Linked DNA regions of Elephas maximus indicus. The protein of the gene in region 1 binds, or shares a complex with, the protein of each later gene. Links are inferred from orthologs where the notes say so. Each region holds a gene or a part of one and is shown on either strand. Other genes may lie near its edges. The genes, in order: LRRK2 and RAB29.

What was found.
Region 2: the proteins of LRRK2 (region 1) and RAB29 are in contact, whole or in part, in a cryo-EM structure (PDB 8FO2), measured with the Homo sapiens proteins. The link is inferred for Elephas maximus indicus from reciprocal best matches to the Homo sapiens genes LRRK2 and RAB29. Residues at the interface, in NP_940980.4 of Homo sapiens: Arg361, Lys362, Arg399, Met402, Leu403, Leu406, Met407, His408, Leu437, Ser438, Lys439, Gly440, His442, Leu443, Asn444, Glu447; in NP_001129134.1 of Homo sapiens: Leu7, Val42, Asp43, Phe44, Ala45, Leu46, Arg58, Gln60, Trp62, Leu76, Tyr77.

The regions. Positions count from the first base shown.
Region 1 is NC_064822.1:94,614,883-94,626,905, reverse strand, and holds the start of LRRK2 (leucine-rich repeat serine/threonine-protein kinase 2), read right to left. Parts: upstream 5,633-12,023; 5' UTR 5,024-5,632; coding exon 4,870-5,023; intron 4,613-4,869; exon of another isoform or gene 4,612-4,612; coding exon 4,526-4,611; intron 830-4,525; exon of another isoform or gene 711-829; coding exon of another isoform or gene 708-710; intron 1-707. UniProt on the Homo sapiens protein: Serine/threonine-protein kinase which phosphorylates a broad range of proteins involved in multiple processes such as neuronal plasticity, innate immunity, autophagy, and vesicle trafficking.
Region 2 is NC_064836.1:15,347,844-15,359,786, forward strand, and holds the start of RAB29 (ras-related protein Rab-7L1), read right to left. Parts: upstream 6,076-11,943; 5' UTR 5,992-6,075; exon of another isoform or gene 5,964-5,991; intron 5,686-5,963; 5' UTR 5,572-5,685; coding exon 5,448-5,571; intron 1,953-5,447; coding exon 1,881-1,952; intron 918-1,880; coding exon 736-917; intron 433-735; coding exon 311-432; intron 21-310; coding exon 1-20. UniProt on the Homo sapiens protein: The small GTPases Rab are key regulators in vesicle trafficking. Essential for maintaining the integrity of the endosome-trans-Golgi network structure.

The DNA.
Region 1 (12,023 bases):
AGTCCAATGATTAATGGACTACAATATAGACAGGAGGTGGAATCCCTCAGTGGCCCCCTTTAGATTTCTTTAGAACATATAAATATGAGCTGATGAGGTCTAGAGTTGATTACAAACGTCCCTTGTCTCTTTTACATTCTCAAAAAAATAATGATCTTATTAATGCCTTTTTTTTTATATTTTTGGTCCATTTACATTTGATGGCAATTTGAATGAGTTGGTCTCCACCAACAGGGGGGAGGGGAAATGGAGATAAATGTTAACCCACTCCGTCTACTGTATATTCTTCTCTAAATTTAAAGAATCTTCAATTCTTTCTATTACCTTATAGAACTGTACTTGATATGGCCAGGAACAAATAAAAACAGAAAATGCATATATATAGTATCTAGAAATTAATGAAGATGTGTCTAAGTGTGAGATGCACAATAAGTACCAACACGATATAAATCCTGAAAATGGTATTCATTGTGAGCTAGAATTACTCAGAGAACGATTTAATATGGAAGAAGTAGATTTGAGTCAAATTTCAAAAGAATTATAAATTTAAATTACAAATTTGGTCTTAGAAAGTATAGAAATTGAACCTACTAAAATTGATTTTCATTTGCCTTCATAAGCATGTGCAAGCTGGACAATGAATAAGGAAGACTGAAGAAGAAGTGATGCATTTGAATTATGGTACAGGTGAAGAATATTAAATATACCATGGGTTGCCAGAAGAATGAACAAATCTGTCCTAGAAGAACAGCCAGAATGTTCCTTAGAAGTGAGGATGGCGAGACTTCATCCCATGTACTTTGGACATATTATCAGGAGCGACCAGTCCCTGAAGAAGGACATCATGCTTGGTGAGTTAGAGGGTCAGTGAAAAAGAAGAAGACCCTCAACGAGATGGATTGACACAGTGGCTGCAACAATGGGCTCAAACATAGCAACGATTCTGAGGATGGTACAAGACGAGGCAACGTTTCATTCTGTTGTCCACGGGGTTGCTGAGTCAGAACCAACTCAACAACACCTAACAACAAAATTGATAACTAGGAGCAGAGTGAGGTATTAAATTTTCAAGGACTGCTACGGGTGGTGGCGTGGGAGGACTATTGCCAGACAAGACTGAATGCATAAGTGGTGTTGGAGGGACACAGAGAGCTGAATGACAAGAGGAAGAATTTATGTGCATTCAATAAGGAATAGTGGCACCTAGAGCCCTATAAGTTCTTTACTTGCTTATGGGAGTAAACAAAAAGTAAGCAAGGGACATTTTACCAAGATAAAAAAAGATTACGTGAGATCTCAACAGAATATTATTTCTGCATCTTTTCCATATCGTGCATGAATTGCTTTACTTTGTCACGGTTTCCTTTTAAATAATTTCAAATTGCTTGAAAAGTCAACATCTGACACCTATTTTTACCTTATATTTAACTAAGACATCCTCCTTCAGTTAAGCTGAACAGGCATTGGCAATCCAGCTGTCATAGAAACTGACTATTCTGGTGCTTTCATAAAATACACTGAGATTTTTTTTTCCCCAAGAGTTTAAGAAAAATGACATTCTAAACAGCTTCTGGGGACAAAAATCACACTGGATGCTAAACTCATCTCAACCTGCATGGCTGACTTAGGGAGAAAATCTGTTTTTGTTTTTGTTTCGTGAAGCAGCAGCATCAGTAATTGCTTTGCAAAAAGGTTCAGACAACTGAGCTTTCAGTCACTATGTGGAGCTTCTACGATTAAACAATCTCTGGCAGCAAAGCAGAGGTAATAATTGATCCATTAGTCTTCAATTAAGAGCTTATCTTTCAAAAAGAGGTTTCCATCCTACACAGTTACAATACAATTGAATTGGTAGTTTCACTTTATTATAATTATTCTGTAAATTCAAGCATCTAATTAGTATACACTGGGAAAGATTTTAGCATTAAAGATAACTTTAGTCATTTTCATTTATTTTGCTCCCCTTCTCTAAAACTTGAAACTGTGTGGATAAAGAAAACATAAAATTGAGAAGCACAGACAATAAGTTAAAATGATCAGATGGCTGCCAGGAAAAGAAAATTACAAGGCAGCTAGCCTGTCAATTCTCTAAAGATTGTCATTTATTAAATTGCATTAATAAAACATGAAAAGGCCTCAAAAATACAAATTCAGAGTCTGGAGTATCATGATAAATGACTTCTGAAAGTCTTTTTTTTTTTTTAAAGCGCATTTACCATAACGCCTTTAGTTCATCATTGAACTTCTGACTCATAGTGATAGTATATACGTAATGTTTTCACTAGCTGTTTTTTTTTTTTTTTTTTAGTTTTTTTTTTAGGAGTAGATCGCCAGATTCTTCTTCCTAGTCTTTCTCAGTCTGGAAGCTCCTCTGACACTTGTCCACCATGGGTGACATCGCTAGTATTTGAAATACCAGTGGTACAGTGTCCGGCATTACAGCAACATGCAAGCCACCACAGTACAACGAACTGACAGATGAATGGTGGTTCATCATTAAGAGCTTTTAATTTAGCACTTCTAAACAATTCAACATAAAAAATAATAATTACACTAGCCAATGAGAAGAAATTTATAAAAAAAAAAAGTTCTTCCCTTTAAGTGCAGTATCAAAATGTCAGTAGAGAGACCTGTTTCTACATCCCTTTGATAAGAGTGATGTGAATCAAAAATTACAATGTTTCTGTGCCTAGTATGGCCACAGTGGTTGTACCAAAACATTGTGCTTTTGTACTTGCTTACATGAAAAGTCTGTGATATTCAGAAGCCGTGGACAGTATGACGGAAGAGGCTTCAAAGTTACGAGAAGACTTGAGTTAAAGTCTTGGCTCTGCTACTAGCTGGGTGATCCCAAATAAGCCATTTCCTCTTGCTGAGCTTTTATGAGAGGAAATTATCCAGTGAGATTTCTGAACAGGCAATGGTATCAAATGATATAATATATACAATGCCCTTTGCAGGCTTAGATGGTGCTATAATTAATAATTCTATTCCATTAAATTATCAAATCAGAAGACAATTCCTTACTTCCCTCCATATTTTGTCTCTAGTACCTACTGGGCCAGAATATTGAGTGATACTCATAGCTACTACAGAATAGTGTGACTCAGGTTTGGGCAGTTTCTAAAGTGAAGAAGAATCAGATGGGAAGTATGTTCAGGTTCCCTTGGGGTCTCAAGCCTATCATGGCTTGCTCTGGACTCTGTAGACCAAAGCCCACCTAGGATCCCATTGTCCTGAGTGGTACTGAGCAAGGTGACTCTGCCAGGCAGAGTCCAGGAATGGAGGCTGCCAGAACCAGTCACATGAACATGGAGGCGAGGGAAATGGGGGTAGGTGGGTGGAGAGCAGCAAACACGGTGGACCAGTGCCTAAAATGTGATTCATGTTCCATGGGCAAATTCAGACCTCGAGTGCTAAAAAGAGCAAGCATCCTTATCATGCCTCTAGCTTTTCTTGGTTTTGTTTAATAGTAGCCAGGAAATCAATAGTCAGATGGAAAACATTTCATAGTTGAAGAAAAATAAAAGAAACCATTTATCCCAGATATGAATGTGCTTATATAAAAGAAGTTAGATACTTAGTATCAGACATAGCTGATATAGAGATAGAGACAAAGATACATAAACACAATGACAGAGAGAGAGAATTCTTACCCCTGTGTGGCATCTCAATTAGACAGGAAGAAATACTGGCTTTCTGTCTACACCTCCACAGAATTCAAAGTTTAATTTTATTTTCCATCAGGACTTTACAGATGACAAAGCTCATTTCAGTTCCCCAAATCTCAAAAGGAAGTTATCACCTTAGTCAGAAATTTGTTTTTACCGTAAATCATTCTTACTTACCATCTTAGGTTTCACTTTTTAATATACCTAAGATATACTAACTCGATTTTTTGAGTTTCCTATGACACCGATTCTAAAAATTTCAGTTTTATATTCAGTTTACATGGGAACACAAAAAATAAACATATAGGGGAATCCTAAAACATCACTTTCATTAGACACAAGGCAAACTTTAAAAAGGCTAGGTACTTCACTGTCTTCAAACTAAAATTTTTTTAAAAATCTCTGAAACCTATGAGAATTTGCCAGTTACTTAATTGTGTTTTATTACTGTTAATTATTCCCCTTTCCCAAACTATTGGCAATGGTGTCAAATCTAGGACATAGCTCTGCACTGGGAAAATCCTAAGAATAATTCAGTCTAAACACCCTGAAACTCATCTAGCCAGTAACAGAGTACCTCAACCCATTACTATTCTCCCCAGCCCCCAACCACGTTCTGCCAGTCAGTTTTATTAAGTTACCTTTTAATGACATTCTTGGAACTCCGGGCAAGCACTTTTACACAGTTAACATTAGATAAAGATTTGACAATACTCTCATCTTAAAATCACTGTCAGAGGTTCATCAAGCCAAATCTCAGAAATAACCAGGAACTCCAGGTATATAACTTTGACAGAAAAACATCGCTTTCCAAAAAGAAAGGGCGAAAGGGCAGAATGAAAGCAGCTCCTTACCTGCTGCACACCCGCGACTCTTATGTAGGAGTCCAGGACGATCAACAGAGGCACGTGGATATTTTTGCCTTGAAATAACTTGGAGGCTGGAAAAGAAGGGGGTGAGGGGAAAGAAGCAAAGTCAGTCACAATTCACAGCAGCCCTTTAATGTCCCAAAAAGGGGGGGAAGCAAATACGAGGTGAGCTCAAGATCTTCCTGGAATTCTCAGCTCCTTTCCGCTTTAAGGAAAGGAGTAGGGAGTTTGAGGCTTCTCAGGAGTCCTGGACTGAGCAGCTCCAAAGGGCAAGGGAGAAAGTTTGCAAAAAGGGGTGAGGGTGGAGGGAATCATTCCCTAGTGATTACCGTGGTCGGCGTACGTCAACACCAAAATATCCTCCAGGATTTGGACCAGCGTCTCAATCTGTTTTCCTTCCTGGACATTGTTCAGCCTGACTATTAACTTCTTCAGAGTTTCCTCGTCCTCCTCCTCGCACCCCTGACAGCTGCCACTGGCCATGATGGCCCCTGCTGTGTATCCGCTGCCCCTCCGGGCAAGGAGGCCCGCTGCTCAGACAAGGGGCTGGGGCTTAGGCCACTGTTCCGGGCAAGTACAGCTCACTGCTGGCAGCCCGTACGCCCCATGGGCACCCGCTCCGGCCTGTTTATGAGAAAGGCGGCGTCTCCACGCCCTGCGCTCCCCTCCCTCTCCTCGAGCCTTCCTCCTCCGCCGCCCAGGCCCCAAAAATGAGCTCGGTGGCCTGCGAGAGGCTGGTAGAAAGCTGAACCGTGGCACGGCTGCCGAGGCGGGGCTCCAGGGGGGGCCGGCCAGACGACTGTGGCCCCGGAGCCCACTGCGCTGGGAACCCCCGGGCGGGCGCCGCCTCCTTGGCCCGATCTGATCCCACTCGCCGAGGCAGTGCAGCAAGGGAGTCGCGCAGGAAGAAACTGACTCAGCGGAGTCCGCCAAGTGCCCCAGACCCGGAGTCCTGCAGCGGTGGGGAGGAGGCTTACAGCCTGCAGCCGGCAGGTTACGGTCCCAGACCGGCCAACCCGGGCTCCTTTGGGCCCACGGAAAGTGGGATCTCAGAAGAGGAAAATGAAAGCCGCCTATTTCCAGATCTGAGAATAGAAATCAGGGCTTTGGGAAAAGAGGACACCGCCCAGTCGGCCCCTTTTAGGGCAACATTCTCTTTAGGGTTCCACCTACAGGGAGATGCATTAATTTCTCCGCAAGGATGGAGATGTTAGCAGTCAAAATTTGCCTAGCTAAATTCTTTTTTTGTGATTGTTGTGCGTGGAGATAAAAGGTGCTTTTTCTGTTATTTGAAAATCTGGTTGCCAAACCAAAAAAAAAAAAAAAACACCAAACCCATTGCCTTGAAATCCATTCTGAGTCATAGCGACCCTATAGGACACAGTAGAACCGCCCCATAGGGTTTCCAAGGAGCGGATGGTGGGTTCCAACTGCTGACATTTTGGTTAGCAGCCAAACTCGTAACCACTGCGCTGCCAGGGCTCCAAAAGGCCACTAAAAATACCTTGAAATTTTGTGTTTGCACTAGGAAGATTCCTGATAGTGGACATGCCAAAAGTAATCAATTCTCTGTACTATTAAAACTGAAGAGAAAGACAGGGTAAATGAAATGACCAGCAGAAAAGGTGAAACAAACAAGCCAAAAAATATTGCTCTCTTACTATTAAGAATTACTAATGAAAATGGGTGTCTATAATCAAAAGTTTTTAAAAATGGACCAAAGTAATGTGTTTTTCAGGAAGGGAAACCAGTTAGAAACACTGTAGACAAGGCACTTCTACACTGTAGACAAAAATGATACTGTCTTCAGGCCAAGGCAAACCACAAGGTAAGGGCTATTTACACAGGAGAGGATTGAACTGGAAGTTAGAACTTCTCAGTTTTTAGATTCCTTTCACATCTGTTACCTCAGTCTAATGATAATTCTGAAATGCACAAGGCAGCTACAATTTCTTCTTCTTTTACTAATGGAAAATTGAGATTTGAGATGTTAAATGAAGAGATTTTCCTGGGTCAAACAATGGGAAGTTGAGAGCTGGAACTTAAATCCAGGTAGAATGTCTAACACCAAATTGAGTGCTCTTTTTCTTTACATTCTGCCATTTTAATCAAAATGACCTAGCTTTACTTCAAACATTAGGTTAATAAAACAAGTTTAAATTCAACCTTGGTATTGTGAATGTTTTGCCGTTGTTGTACATTTTTCCCCCCAAATTTTATTTTGTTATTGTTGTTGAGAATATATACAGCTAAAGACACAGCAATTCAAGTTTCTATATGTACCATTTATTAATACCAATTATCTTTTAAAGACACACGCTTATCTATTTACAGTTAAAATAATATAATGATGAGGATTTGCTTCAAAGTAACCCAGTGATGGGGGAAGGGATGAAATGGGTGGAGGTAGTGATGCAAAAACACCAACTTTTGAATTGATAATTGTTGGAGATAGCTTCATGGGGTTTATTTTACTATTCTCTACTTTTTATAAGATATAAAAGTTTCCATATAAAACTTAAAACACACACAACTCTCATACTTGTAGTTGTTATCATACCTGCTGTATATGCCTTCCTAACTGGTTTCTTATGTCATCTTTTGACTACCTACTCAATAACTCATATTTCTAGGAAGTCTCCCTTTTATGTCTCCCTTCCCAAACTACTGGTTTATTATCTTGCAAGAGATTGAAACCTAACTGCCTTCTAAGAGAAAGTCAATCTAAGTATAAAAGATTCCTTTTCTTTTCCTCAATCAATATTCATTATTCCATCTATTTTCTATACTATATTAGAGTAACTGGACTCTGTGAAGAAGAATATGGCATCAAGATAGGTGGAAGACTTATTAAGAACCTGAGATATGCAGATGACACAACCTTGCTTGCTGAAACACTAAGCAGACTTGAAGCACTTACTGATGAAGATCAAAGGCTATAGCCTTCAGTATGGGTTACACCTCAATATAAAGAAAACAAAAATGCTCACAACTAGAATAATAAGCAACATGGTGATAAACGGAGAAAAGACTGAAGCTGTCAAGGATTTCAGTTTACTTGGATCACAATCAACACCCATGGAAGCAGCAGTCGAGAAACCAAATGATGTACTGCATTGGACAAATCTACTGCAAAAGACCTCTTTAAAGTGCTGAAAAGCAAAGATGTCACTTTGAGGACTAAGGTGTACCTGACCCAAGCTATGATATTTTCTTTTTTTAATCTTTATTGTGCATTAAGTGAAAGTTTACAAATCAAGTCAGTCTCTCACACAAAAACTTACATACACCTTGCTACAAAGAACCCAGTGCTACATACTCCCAATTGTTCTCCCCCTAATGAGACAGCCCACTCCCTCCCTCCACTCTCTCTTTACGAGTCCCTTTCGCCAGCTTCTAACCCTCTCTACCCTCTCATCACCCCTTCAGGCAGGAGATGCTAACATAGTCTCAAGTGTCCACCTAATCCAAGAAGATCACTCCCCACTAGCATCCCTCTCCAAACCATTGGGCAGTCCAATCCATGTCTGAAGAGTTGGCTTCAGGAATGGTTCCTGTCCTGGGCCAACAGAAGGGGTGGGGGCCATGACCACTGGGGTCCTTCTAGTCTCAGTCAGACCATTAAGTCTAGTCTTATGAGAATTTGGGGTTTGCATCCCACTGCTCTTCTGCTCCCTCAGGGGCTCTCTGTTGTGTTCCCTGTCAGGCAGTTGTCTGTTGTAGCCAGGCACCATCTAGTTCTTCTGGTCTCAGGCTGATGTAGTCTCTGGTTTATATGGACCTTTCTGTCTCTTGAGCTCGTAATTACCTTGTATCCTTGATGTTCTTCATTCTCCTTTGATTCAGGTGGGTTGAGACCCATTGATGCATCTTAGATAGCTGCTTTCTAGCGTTTAAGACCTCAGACGCCACTCTCCAAAGTGGGATGCAGCATGTTTTCTTAATAGATTTTATTACGCCAATTGACTTAGATATCCCCTGAAACCATGGTCCCCAAACCCCTGCCCCTGCTACACTAGACTTCAAAGCATTCAGTTTATTCAGGAAACTTCTTTGCTTTCGGTTTAGTCCACTTATGCTATCCTCGCCTGTATTGTGTGTTGTCTTTCCTGTCGCCTAAAGTAGTTCTTATCTACTATCTAATTAGTGAATACCCTTCTCCCACCCTCTCTCCCTCCCCCCTCTTGTAACCATCAAAGAATATTTTCTTCTCTGTTTAAACTATTTCTCGAGCTCTTATAATAGTGGTCTTATACAATTGTTGTCCTTTTGCAACTGACTAATTTCACACTCAGCATAATGCCTTCCAGGTTCCTCCATGTTATGAAATGTTTCACAGATTCATCACTGTTCTTTATTGATGCATAGTATTCCATTGTGTGAATATACCATAATTTATTTATCCATTTATCTGTCGATGGACACCTTGGTTGCTTCCATCTTTTTGCTATTGTAAACAGTGTTGCAATAAACATGGGTGTGCATGTATCTGATCGTGCAAAGGTTCTTATTTCTCTAGGATATATTCCAAGGAGTGGGATTGCCAGATCGTATGGTAGTTCTATTTCTAGCTCTTTAAGGAAGCACCAATTCTATTTCCAAAGTGGTTGTACCATTTTACATTCCCACCAGTGCTGTATAAGTGTTCCAATCTCTCCATAGCCTCTCTGACATTTATTATTTTGTGTTTTTTGGATTAACGCCAGCCTTGTTGGAGCGGAAAACCCTGGTGGCATAGTGGTTAAGCGCTACGGCTGCTAACCAAAGGGTCAGCAGTTTGAATCCACCAGGCGCTCCTTGGAAACCCTATGGGGCAGCTCTACTCTGTCCTATAGGGTCGCTATGAGTTGGAATCAACTCAATGGCACTGGGTTTGTTTTTTTTTGGTTTTTAAAGGCTAATGATCGTGAGCATTTCCTCATGTATCTGTTAGCTACCTGAATGTCTTCTTTAATGAGGTCTGTTCATACATTTTGCCCATTTTTTAATTGGGTTATTTGTCTTTTTGTAGTTGAGTTTTTGCAGTATCACGTAGATTTTAGAGATCAGGCGCTGATCAGAAATGTCATAGCTAAAAATTTTTTCCCAATCATAGGTAATCTTTTTACTATTTTGATGAAGTCTTTGGATGAGCATAGGTGTTTGATTTTTAGGCGCTCCCAGTTATCTAGCTTTTCTTCTGCATTCTTTATAATGTTTTGTATACTGTTTATGCCACATATTGGGGCTCCTAACATTTTCCCTATTTTTTCTTCCATGATCTTTATCACTTTAGATTTTATATTTAGTTTCTTTGATCCATTTTGAGCTTGTTTTTGTGCATGGTGTGAGGTATAGGTCTTGTTTCATTTTTTTGCAGATGGATATACAGTTATGCCAGAACCATTTGTTAAAAAAGACTGTCTTTTCCCCATTTAATACTTTTGGGGCTTTTGTGAAATATCAACTGCTCATATGTGGGTGGATTTATGTGTGGGTTATCAATTCTGTTCCACTGGTCTATGTATCTGTTGTTGTACCAGTGCCAGGCTGCTTTGAATACTGTGGTGGTATAACAGGTTCTAAAATCAGGTAGAGTAAGACCACCCACCTTGTTCTCCTTTTTCAGTAATACTTTACTTATCTGGGGCCTCTTTTCCTTCCATATGAAGTTGGTAATTTGTTTCTCCATCTCATTAAAGAATATCATTGGAATTTGGATCGGAATTGTATTAAATGTATAGATCGATTTTGGTAGAATAGACATTTTTATAATGTTAAATCTTCCTATCCAGGAGCAAGGTGTGTTTTCCCACTTATGTAAGTCTCTTTTGGTTTCTTGCAGAAATGTTTTGTAGTTTTCTTTGTACAAGTCTTTTACATCTCTGGTAAGATTTATTCCTAAGTATTTTATCTTCTTGGGGGCTACTGTAAATGGTATTGATGTGGTGATTACCTCTTTGATGTTCTTTTTGTTGGTGTAGGGGAATCCAGCTGATTTTTGTATGTTTATCTTGTATCCCAATACTTTGCTGAACTCTTCTATTAGTTTCAGTAGTTTTCTTGAGGATGCCTTAGTGTTTCTGTGTATAAGATCATGTCATCAGCAAATAGAGATATTTTTACTTCTTCCTTGTCAATGTGGATGCCCTTTATTTCTTTATCTAGCCTAACTGCTCTGGCCAGGACCTCCAGACCAACGTTGAGTAAGAGTGGTGATAAAGAGCATCCTTGTCTGGTTCCCGATCTCTAGGGGAATGCTGTCAGAATCTCTCCATTTAGGATGATGTTGATGTTGGCTATTGGCTTTGTATAAATACCCTTTATTATGCTGAGGAATTTTCCTTCTATTCCTATTTTGCTGAGAGTTTTTGTCATGAATGTGTGTTGAACTTTGTCAAATGCCTTTTCTGCATCAGTTGATAAAATCATGTGATTCTTGTCTTTTATTTATATGATAAAAATGGATTACATTAATTGTTTTTCTAATGTTGAACCATCCCTGCATGCCTGGTATGAATCCCACTTGGTCATGGTGAATTATTTTTCTTATATGTTCTTGAATTCTATTGGCTAGAATTTTATTGAGGATTTTTGCATCTAAATTCATGATGGATATAGGTCTGTAATTTTCTTTACCTGGTTTTGGTATCAGGGATATGGTGGCTTCATAGAATGAGTTTGGGAGTATTCCGTCATTTTCAATGCTCTGAAATACTTTTAGCAGTAGTGGAGTTAACTCTTCCCTGAAAGTTTGGTAGAACTCTGCAGTGAAGACCTCCTGGCTAGGGCTTTTTTGTTGTTGTTTTTTTTTTTTTTATTACCCTTTCAATTTCTTCTTTTGTTATGGGTCTATTTAGTTGTTCTACCTCTGTTTGTGTTAGTTTAGGTAGGTAGTGTGTTTCTAGGAATTCATCCATTTCTTCTAGGTTTTCAAATTTGTTAAAGTACAATTTTTCATAGTAATCTGATATGATTCTTTTAATTTCAGTTGGGTCTGTTATAATATCAGCCATCTCATTTCTTATTCGGGTCATTTGCTTCCTCTCCTGTTTTTCTTTTGTCTGTTTGGCCAGTGGTTTATCAATTTTGTTGATTTTTTCAGAGAAACAGCTTTTGGTCTTGTAAATTCTTTCAATTGTTTTTCTGTTTTCTATTCCATTTAGTTCTGCTCTAATTTTGATTATTTGTTTTCTTCCAGTGCCTGAGGGTTTCTTTTGTTGTTCTCTTTCTATTTGTTCAAGTTGTAGGGATAATTCTTTGATTTTGGCCCTTTCTTCTTTTTGGATGTGTGCATTTATTATAAATTCACTCTGAGCGCTGCTTTTGCTGTATCCCTAAGGTTCTGATAGGAAGTGTTTTCATTCTCATTGGATTCTATGAATTTCTTTATTCCGTCCTTAATATCTTCTATAATCCAGTCTTTTTTGAGCAGGGTATTGTTCAGTTTCCAAGGATTTGATTTCTTTTCCCTACTTTTCCTGTTATCGATTTCCACTTTTAT
Region 2 (11,943 bases), on another chromosome or scaffold:
TCATCTTTTCAATGAGGACTCTAAAAAGCAAATAAAAAATAAGCCTGAGAACTGGTTGGAGGTGATGGAGAAATGGCAGACATCATCTGTTTTATCAAAAGACAGCATTCAGAAAAGCCACAAGGTTCAAATGCCCCTCTGTCCCCAGTTATCTCAGGAGGGAAGATGCATCCCTGACCTTCAGAAACTGGCATTCCAATGACTCAATCTGTTCTTGTTGGCTCAGAACCAAAAAAAGAGGGCCCATGGGGCGGCAGTGGAAGGTGGGGAAATCTACACACTTATGCCCAGAACAGCGTAAGTTACTCACCTCATGGCCTCATTAATGTTTTTGTTCTCCTTGACTGATGTTTCCGTCCAACCTGTGAAACCATTCTCTTTACTGAACCGGTCAATCTGGTCCCGGCTCACTGCCCAAGGGGACAGATCACACTGGCAGAGAAATAAAAGACAACATCATAAACTTCCTGGGAATAGGAACACTGCTCAGATACCTGTGAATTTAAAACATTCCAGCACCAACTAAGGGCTAAGGACACCAGCATCTAAAATCTATAATAAACATTCTTCCCAAAGAAAGCTTCACTCTCACCATCCCCTGAAAAGCGGAAGAGATGATTCTGCCAACTTGAGAAGGGGAAAAAGATGCCTAGAACCAGACGGCATCTTGGACTATATTCTCTAAACCACGGATATTCTCTGACCATAGGCCATTTTCCTAGACTGATCCCATACCTTGTTGGCCAGGAGCAGGCAGGGCACGGGCTCTCCACTGGGCAGTGTGAGCTTGCTGTCCAGGTCCTGTTTCCACCTCTGGCTGTTGCTAAATGTAGTGGCGTTGGTAACATCAAACATAATAACACAAGCAGAGGCATCCCGATAGTATAGTCGTGTCATAGAGGTGAAGCGCTCCTGTCCTGTGGAGAAAGGGGAGGGTACACAAGGAGGTGATTTTAGAAACAGTTTCAGTCCCCTCTCTGACCCGCTGCCTTCTCTACCTTGATTGTGGGGGAAAAGGCAGTATATGTAGTAAAGATTCTGCACTCAGGCTGTCCAAGTTCAAATCCCTGTTCTGCCACTTACTATCTATGTGACTCTGGGCAAGGTAAGCTCTCAGTGCTTCGTTATCTCTCACCTGTAAAATAGGGGTAAAGGCAGTAGCTGTTATCATGGAATTGTCGTGAGGATTTGTGGGCCAGTGAGTCTAAAATGCTCAGGAGTATGCTTGCACGTACTAAGAGTTGTTGCTGTTGTTGTTACGTGCTGTTGAGTCAGTTCCAATCCATGGCAACCCTATGTACAACAGAATGAAACACTGCCCGGTCCTGTGCCATCCTCACAGTTGTTCTTACGTATAGGCCCATTGTTGCAGCCACTGCATTAATCCATTTTGTTGAGGGTCTTCCTCTTTTTCACTGACCCTCTACTTTATCAAGCATGATGTCCTTCTCCAGGGACTGGTCCCTCCTGATAATGTGTCCAAAGTATATGAGATGTAGTCTCGCCATCCTTGCTTCTGAGGAGCATTCTGGCTGTACTTCTTCCAAGACAAACTACTACTTCTTATTATTATCTCTATTTTCTAGGGATCTTTTTTCTCATCAAGGTCAGCTGAGAACCCAGAAAAAGTGCCCTGCCCCTGCTGTGGAAGTGTCTACCTATGGTCTGGACAACCTACCACCTTACCATTCCCTTTAGTCACACAAACACTGCTCTACATCTGTTTAGGGCAAAACTTTAAGTTTCTGTATCCTCAGAGCAACTTAACCATTCCACCTTCAGAAAGAAGTTTGGGTTTTGGCTGTCCCCCTTTTTCTCTGACAGACTGCTAGCTGAACTGAACTTTCTTCCCTTGTTCCTATCCAGCCTGCCCAGCTCACCTGCAATATCCCACAGCTGGAGCCGTACCATCTCCGAGTCAGACCACTGAAGAACCTTCAGAGCAAAATCCACTGAAAGTATAATGGATATCATACGTTAATGAAATTTAACCTTTGAAAAACACCCAGACCAAATCTGCAGTTACAACTCTAGGGGCACACAGCTCCCAAACCCATTTTATTTTTAATTTTTACAAATATTTTATTGTGTTTTCAGTAAAGGTTTACACAGCCGTTTAAGTTCCTATTCAAAAACCTCTACGCGAGTTGTTCAGTGACACTGGCTGCACCCTTCACAATGTGTGAACACACTCATTATTTCCGTTCTGGTTGTCCCATTTTCATCTCCCTGCCCCCTCATATTGCCGTCTTTGTTTCACAGTAACTGTTGACTGTTTGGTATCGTACAGGTGATTTTTTAAAGGAGCACAGTACTTACAAGTGATAATCCTTATTTTTTAGAGCTAAATAAGGTGGCCTCAGGGGCTAGTCTACATCCAAGGTCTGAAGAGTATCTCAGGGCAATAGTTTTGGGGATTACTCATTTATTTTTAAGCCCTTAACAGACTGAGCCGAGCCCACCCTCGTGTACTAGGTATGAGACAGATAATTCATACTTCCTCTCCGAAGGAGTCTCCAGCTGTTACTCTGCTGCCAAAACAATTTATTTGACACTATTTGTCTCAAAGGCTGGGGACAGGAAGGTGACAGTCATTATGAAAACAACTCCTAATCTCGGGTTAAACAGTCTCTGGGAGATTTGGGGGTTTTCTCAGGGAAGGGATGATGGGGTGGGAGGAGAAACGAGGTAAGTGTGGTCGCTCTTGCATCTTCCACATTCCATTTCACTGTTGGTTTCTAATTCAAGTGCAGGGGGAGAAAAATACGCCCTGGGGGATTCTATATCCTCCATAAGGCGATAGAAATTATCCCAGGCCGGAACAGGATTAAAGTGAAAAAGTCCCAGAGGATTCCCAGGAAATGAACACTGCATGGATAGCGCTTAAGAGCTACGCTGGAATCTACCGCCACATCTGTTCAGGATTCCATTAGATGTGCTGAGACTCCGTGAGTTAAGGCTGAACAAGCATTCCAAGGAGAAAAGCTTTTTGATAACAGAGAAATAGGATAATTTTTGAGGTCTGGAAATACATTCTTCCACATCTGTGACAGAAATAAGAGCTGGGGGACATTTATAATAAACGCCGCCCCCCGGCCCCCCCCCTAAAAAATTTGCTAGAGTCAGAGTGAAAACTGTCAGCACCAGAACTCGATGGGAATGCCTTGTTTTTCCGAGTCTCGGAAGTCTTCCTTCTGCCTTTGACAAGGCACAGTTCTACCACACTGGAAAATATTTGTTTTCCTTCCGGCAGGTTTCCGTCTTACACAAGTCCTGGCTTTGCAGATTTTTTACTGTATACTCTTTACGAAAGGAAAACCAGAGCAATTGCTAAAAGTTAATTAGCAAGACATTTTTAACTCAAATCCCATGAAATACTGTTGTTGTTAGCGGCTTTGACTCATGGCGACCCCATGTGTGCAGAGCAGAACTATGCTCCACAGGGTTTTCAAGGCTGTGACCTGTCAGAAGCATATTGCCAGGCCTGTCTCGGAGGCACCTCTGGATGGCTCTGAACTGCCAACCTTTCAGCTAGTAGTTGAGCACACAGCATCACCCAAAACACCAAAACCAAACCCGCTGCTGTCGAGTCGATTCCGACTCACAGCAACCCTAAAGGACAGAATGGAACTGCCCCATAGGGTTTCCAAGGAGTGGCTGGAGGATCTGAACTGCCAACTCTTTGGTTAGTAGCTGCAGCCCTTAACCACTATGCCACCAGGTTTTCCTTATGTCACCCAGGGACTCCATAATCCATTAAATTAAAAGGAAAACAAAACAAAACAAAACCCGTTGCTGTTGATTCAATTCCAACTCATAGTGACCCTATAGGACAGAGTAGAACCCCCCATAAGGTTTCCAAGGAGCAGCTGGTGGATTCAAACTGCCAACCCTTTGGTTAGCAGATGAGCTCTTAACCACTGTGCCACCAAGGCTCCAATCCATCCATGAAATAGGGACCCTCATATTATTTAGAAGTAGGGGGAAGAGGCAAAGTGGTTAGGAAACAATCTTCGAAACTTTAAACCCTTAATTTTGCTGATGGTCTTACAGGGGAAAGAGAATGCTTTAATTGCAATGTAAATGTTTGATATTTTAAAAAATTCTGTATGAACACCAGTACCCATTTTCAAAATTCAGACTAATGCAAGTTTTTACAAGGCGCCCTCGTGGCGCAGTGGTTAACCAAAAGGTCGGCGGTTTGAACCCACCAGCCTCTCTGAGGAAGAAAAGAGCTGGCGATCTGCTCCCATAAAGATTACAGCATTGGAAACTCTATGGGGCTCCCTGTCCTATGGGGTCGCTCTCGCTATGAGTCGTCCAAATTGACTTCACGGCAATGGGTTACAAGTGTTTTCCTTTAAAAAAGTTCTTTTAACAGAGACAAATAAATGTTTAAATTACTTCTTCCCTTTACTAGTTCTTCTCAGCTAAGAACCAAAAAAACTAAACCCACTGCCATGGAGTCAATTCCGACTCATAGCAACCCTACAGGACAGAGTAGAACTGCCCCATAGAGTTTCCTGGGAGCACCTGGTGGATTAGAACTGCTGACCTTTTGGTTAGCAGCCGTAGCACTTAACCACTACATCACCAGGGTTTCCTCTCAGCTAAACACGCTCTAGTTAACGAAAAGGGAACCACAAGGCATCTCTATCTCTGAAAAAAACAGCTCAGTTGAGTCCAAAATCCACACCTGAGAGAGAAATGAGTTAAGTCTTGGTGTCCCCTGTCCTCCTCCCCTTCCCGCTTTGAGGGAAAGAGGGGTAGGAAGATCGGTCAGAAAAGTGGTATATTTCACATTTTTCAAAGAATTCCTAGGTTGCCTTTAAGCAATCAGTGGACAATACACAGCTCATCAGCCCTGATAAGCACCTGATTCTGTGGCCAAGGCCCCACAGAGGATCTGCCGTCCCCACCCTGCCCAGGCACTCCCATAACAAAGCTAGGGTCCTTCAGACCAGCTCAACGTCCTAGGTCCTCCCCTCGAGGCCAGGTGAAACATCCTTCTGTTCCTCCCTCCACAACGCACAGTCGCAGCTGGCACCTACCGAGCCATACAGAGGGTCTCAGCTGCCCCTGCCCCTCGCTAAGATTTGCCTGTGACAGCTTCGAAGGCTGCAAGAAACTTGAGTTCACAGTTCGCTCGCGAAACGCAGAAACTGCTTTCTCTCACCCTCCCTTCTCCATTTCTTATCTTCACACCTCCGCCCTATCTCTTTCCAGGCAGCTGGCTCTGTCGGGGAAAACCTAAGTGGGGCAGCCCAAGGGGGCATGCAAATCAAACCTCCAGTAATCGCTCCCCTCAGGATCCCGAACACGCACTTCCTGACCTGAGAAGGACCCACGGACACGAGCTCCCTCCCCTCCACCCCACTTGGGCCCACAGCTCGAGTCCTTAGTCGGGCCTCTGTCCAGCCGCCCCCCTGTCCCCAGCGAGGTCTCACCTCCCACCGTGGACTTGTAGTGTTTGCTGAAGCTGTCCTGGGAGTATCTCTGGACCAGCGACGTCTTGCCCACTGCGGCGTCCCCCACCACCAGCACTTTGAACAGGTGGTCGCGGCTGCCCATGGCGGGCTAGCGGGGTGTGCGTTTTAGGGAGGTGGGAAGCGTTTTAACCCCTCTAGCTCCGGACTCCCTACACACTCAGGTCAGGCATTCCCACCCACCGCCTCTGGGGCGGCTCTGACGAAAAAGCAAAAAAAGGAAACTTTGCACTCCACCTCTACGCGCTTCCTCCCCCGCGGCCGCAGCCTGGGTGGGGCGTAGGGCTCGGCTCCAAGCCCCCCGGCTGTTGGAACTTTCTGCCCCTCCCGGCCCGGCTGCCGAGAAACGGGACGGAGCACCTCGCTGCCTCACCCACCCGCACTTCCCGCGGGCGGCTCCAGTGGGCGACTGAAGCCGGGTCAGCTTATTTCAAGGTTAGGGCCAGAAGATGGGGATCCTGCCCCCACTGCACAAACCAAATTCGGAGATAAGAGTACTCCACACCTCACTCCTGGACCCTGGCTGGCCTTGGTGGCGCGGTCCCCTCGCCTCCCTCCGCATGCGTCACGTGCAGATTGCGAGAAGCACTACATTTCCCATGTCACTTCGCGGTGAAGAGAACTAGCCGAGTGTGGAGGCTCGCCGCAAGGCCTCCTGGGAAAAGTAGTTTATGAACTATTTTTATTAAAAAAGCCTACGCGAAGTTTCAAGACTTTCACAACCCCCATAATTCGTCACTAGTTTGGGATCTTATATTAAAATAATTCTGGGTTCTTCCAGGTGATTTGTTCAACATGATCTCACCTTCCTAAATCCCTCTACAGATAAATTAGATTCCTCGTATCTTTAAAGGTTCTATGGAGCTCTGTGGAAACCCTGGTGGCATAGTGGTTAAGAGCTTGGCTGTTAACCAAAAGGTTGGCAATTTGAATCCACCAAGCGCTCCTTGGAAACTCTATGGGGCAGTTCTGCGCTGTCCTATAGGGTCACTATGAGTCGGAATCGACTTGAAGGCACTGGGTTTTTGTTCCCGAGTTGACGGCATTGGGTATGACCCAGTATCAGGCAAGTTCAGGGAAACTTGACCCAAGAGACCGGCCCTTAGAAAATCCCATGCCAAAAGTTACAACATTTAATAACTAGCCACAGCAATGAAGATAGAAAACAAGAGATAGTTCCTCATTCTCACTCTCACAGCCCCTATTCTAGTCCATATTCTAGACAAAACATGTATCATTTGAGCTGGAAGCTAATTGGATCAGCCTTGCTCTATTTATTTGTTGCTGCTGTTGGCCATATCATCATTAAACTCGTTTTGCAAGTAATTTAAAATTTTCATCCTGTAACCTTTCCGACCTGCCTGTTTTTTAGGCAGGCGGTAAGGGGACAAGATGTATGTTTGGCAAGCAAGGTGAGCTTCATTTTCTATGCTTTTCACAGGAATAGAAGTGGGAGCAGTAGGGCTGTGGGGAAATAGCCCAGAGGGCTGACTTCGTGAAATCCTGCCCACATCTATTGGTAGAAATACTATCACTTAGCTTTCTGCCAGGAAAGAATATCAGCATGGTTCACAATTTATTTAGCTCAAATTGTTTGTTACCCTAGCTAGGGGAGGTCAGACATCTTTAACAATGTCTCAGATCCCTTTCTAATGGCCCTTCTCAATTCCTATTTGCTTTGACATAGTTCAAATGGCTTAAAATCTATTTCCACTTGACTTCTGTGACGTTGTTCTTTCATAGTCATCCTACCTCTTTTTCTTTTATGTTTCTCTCCATCCCGTCTCCCCCTAAGTATTTCCTAAGGCTTGGTTCTTGATCCCTGTTATGGATTGAATTGTGTCCCCCCAAAATATCTATCAACTTGGCTAGGCCATGATTCTCAGTATTGTGCGATTGTCCACCATTTTGTCATCTGATGTGATTTTCATGTGTTGTAAATCCTATCTCTATAAAGTTAATGAGATGAGATTAACGGCAGTTATGTTGATGAGACTCAATCTACAAGACTGGATTATGTTTTAAGCCAATCTCTTTTAAAATGTAAAAGAGAGAAGCAAGCAAAGAGACCCAGGGGGACCTCATACCACCAAGAAAGTAGTGCCAGGAGAAGAGCACATCCTTTGGACCTGAGGTTCCTGCACTGAGAAGCTCCCAGTCCAGGGGAAGATTGATGGTAAGGAACTTCCTTCAGAGCCGAGAGAGAGAGAAGGCCTTCGCCTGGAGCTGGCACCCTGAATTTGGACTTTTAGCCTCCTAGACTGTGAAAGAATAAATTTCTCTTTATTAAAACCATCTGCTTATGGTATTTCTGTTATAGCAACCCTAGATAACAAGACAATCCCTGAGCTGATTGTTCTATAAACTCTTCCCTTTGGTGAATTGCCCTTGGTTTCAAATATCTCTCTGTTTTTACCTCTAATTCATTACATCCAACTTCCGAAAAGTAACCTCCACTTGGATGTTCCACCACAGCTCAGCTTCCCTCTCATTACTTCTTGGACTGAACTCATCACTTGGCCAAATAACGGCTCCTTTTCTCACTTTCCCTATTTCGGTCACTGGCCTTGTCATTTCTTCCCTTTGCTGAGGCTTCAGACCATGAGCATTATTAATATTTCCTTTTACAGATGTCCATTTACAGCCCTCCCCCCCCACTGCTTTTTAAAATTTTTATTGTGGTAAAATATATATAACAAAAAGTTTGCCATTTTAACCCTTTTTAAGTATATAATTCAGTGATACTACATTCACCATGTTGTGCTACCGCCACCAGTTCCAAAAGTTTTACATCACCCTGAACAGAAACTCAGTACCCCTTTAGCAGTAACTCCCATTTCCTCCTCCTCCTAACTCCTGTTGTTGCTGTTAGGCGCCATCGAGTCAGTTCTGACTTACAGTGACACTACATACAACAGAAGGAAACACTGCCTGGTACTGTACCACCCTCATGATTGTCGTTTATGCTTGAAGCCATTGCTACAGCCACTGTGCCAATCCATCTCATTGAGGGTCTTCCTCTTTTTTGCTGACTCTCTATTTTATCAAGTGTGATGCCGTTCTCCAGGGACTGATCCCTCCTGATAACATGTCCAGAGTACATAAGACAAATCCTTGCCATCCTCGCTTTCAAGGGGCACCCTGGCTGTATTTCTTCCACAACAGATTTGTTCATTCTTCTGGCAGTTCATGGTATATTCATTGCCCAGCTTTCACATGAATCTGAAAAAAAAAAAAACAAAAAAAAAACCATTGTTGTAGAGTTGATTCTGACTCAAAACGACCCTATAGGGCAGAGTAGAACTGCACCATAGGGTTTCCAAGGAATGCATGGTGGATTTGAACTTCTGACCTTTTGATTAGCAGCCAAGCTCTTAACCACTACACCACCAGGGTTTCCACATGCATATGAGGCGATTGAAAACACCATGGCTTGGGTCAGGTGCACCTTAGTCCTTAAAGTGAAATCTTTGCTTTTTAACACTTCAAAGAGGTCTTTTGCAGCAAATTTGCCCAATGCAATGCATCATTTATTTCTAACCTAACCCCTGATAACTATTAACAAGCATTTGTCTCTATGCATGTGCCTATTCTAGACATTCCATATAAGTGGAATCATACAATATTTGTCATTTTGTGTCTGACCTGCTTCACTCAGTATAATGTTTTTAAGGTTCATCTATGTCATGGCATGTATCAGAACTTCATTTCTCTTTATGGCTGAGTAATATTCCATTGTATGTGTGTCACATTTTGCTTATCCATTCATCTGTTGTTGGACATTTGGGCTGTTTCCACCTTTTGGCAACTGTGAATAATGCTGCTATGAACATTGGGATACAAGTATCTATTTAAGTCCCTGTTTTCAAATCTTTTGGGTATATACCTAGGAGTAGAATCGTTAGTAGGTAATTCTATGCTTAACATTTTGAGGAACGACCGAACTGTTTTCCCCAGTGGCTGCACCATTTTACATTTCCACCAGCAACGCATGAGGGCACTCCACATTCTTGCCAACACTTTTTAGTTTTTCTAATAATAACCATCCAAGTGAGTGTGACGTGGTATCTCACCGTGGTTTTGATATGCATTTCCCTAATGACTAATGACATTGAGCATCTTTTTGTGTGTTGCTCGGCCATTTGTACATCTTCTTTAGAGAAATGTCTATTTAAGTCCTTTGCCCATTTTTCAACTGGGGTTGTCTTTTTGTTGTTGAATTGCAGAAGTTCTTTATATATTCTGGATAGTAAATTCTTATCTTATCAGATATATAGTTCCCAAATATTTCATAGATTGTGTCTTCACTTTCTTGGTAAAGTCCTTTGATACACAAAAATTTTTCATTCTGATGAACTCCAATTTATTTTTTCCCTCATTGATCATGCTTTTGGTGTCATACTTAAGAATTCACTTTCAAAAACGAAGTCTTTAAGTTTTACCCCGATGTTTTTGACTAAGGTTTTGTGATCTTAGTTTTTATATTTAGCTCATTGATCCATTTAGAGTTAATTTTCGTATATGATGTGAGGTATGGGTCCAACTTCATTTCTTTGCATGTGGACATCTAGCTGTTCCTGTACCATTTACTAAAAAGACTATTCTTTTCCTATTGAATGGATTTGGCATCCTTGTCAGAAATCAATTGGCCATAGATGTATGGGTTTATTTCTGAGCTTTTGATTCTATTCCATTAGTCTAAATGCCTGTCCTTCAACCAGTGCCAGACTGTTTTGATTACTGTAGCTTTATAGTACGTTTTGAAATTATAAGTGTGAGTCCTCTAACTTTGCTCTTCTTTTTCAAGATTGTTTTGGCTGTCCAGGGTCCTTTGCAATTCCATATGGATTTGAGGATTGGCTTTTCCATTTCATTAAAAAAAGGCTGCTGGGATTTTTTTTATTGTACTTTAGATGAAAGTTTACAGAGCGAATTAGTTTCTCATTGAACAATTAACACACACATTGTTTTGTGACGTTGGTTGCCAACCCCACAGCATGTCAACACTCTCCCCTTCTTGAACCTGGGTTCTCTGTTACCAGCTTTCCTGTTCCCTTTTGCCTTCTTGTCTTTGCCCCTAGGCTGGTGTGCCCATGTAGTAGGCTCTCTGAATTTTTATACAAATTGCATTAAATTGTAGATTGCTTTGGGTAATTTTTTTTTTTTTTTGGTTGGGTAATACTGGCATCTTAACAATATTAAGTCTTCCAAAACATGAACATGGGATGTCTTTCCACTTATTTAAGTCTTATTTAATTTCTTTCAGCAACATTTTACAGTATTCAGTGTATGAGTCTTACACTTCACTGGCTAAATTATTCTTAGGTATTTTATTTTCTTAGATGATATTGTAAATGGGCATGTTTTCTTGATTTCCTCTTCAGATCGTTCATTGTTGGTGTATAGAAACACAACTGATTTTTGTGTGCCCATTTCCCTTCTAAAAAGTCAGGCATCATGTGTGTTCTGATTCCTCCTTCCAGAATGTTTCCTCCATCCACCCTCTCTGCTCCATATGTAGTGTACTTTCCCAGCTCAGGCTTTCCGCATCTCACACCTGTATTACTTCGATAACCTGTTCAGTGGTCTTACTGACTTCAGTTTCTCTTCCGTTCAATTCATCCTACACAACTGGCCAGGATGATTCTCCTAAAATGTTATTATTGTTCCTTCATGCCTACCAAAAAACCTTCTAAAAACTGGTCAACCTCCCTGAGCTGGTGTCCAGGCTTTCATGCTGGCCCCACGCTACCTAACCAACTTCATTCCATCTCAACGGACCTGAAATGGGAATTTCTTCCCTCCAACAAGGTGGGGTTTCTTACACTTTTTATTTTTTATTGTCATAAAATATTTGCCATTTCAACATTCTTCACACGTGCAAGTTAGTGACATTAATAGTATTTACCATGTTGTGTGACCGTCACTATTATCTATTTCCAACTTTTTCCATCACTCTTAACAGAAGCTCAGTGGCTCTTAAGTGTCTCTTATCCCCCTCCCCCAACCCGCCCTCCTTATATTCTTGAAAAGCCATCTCATTTTTTATGTTTATCTTTGCCCAGGGTCCTTCACCCATCAGAATACCCTTCAGACTTCTTTCACTTTCAAATGCTTACCACACTGTAAGTTCTTAAACTTTAGTGCGCATAAAAATCACACAGGGCACTTGTTCAATAGGGACATTCTGATTCTGTAGGGCTGAGGTAGGACCCAGGAGTATCTGTGTTTTTGGCAAATACCTGGGTGAATCCTAGGCCAGATTCCACTTTGAGAAATGCTGCGTTAAGGCCTGATTTTAAGTATCACCTCATTTATGAATATTTCCTTTATTATTGCAGCCCGTATCGGTCACCTAAGCATTTATAATCTGCTCAGCTTTTGGTCACTTAACTATACAACCAGTTTACAATTATTTGACTTATAAACAACCAGTGCATTACACAGGAAGTGGGGA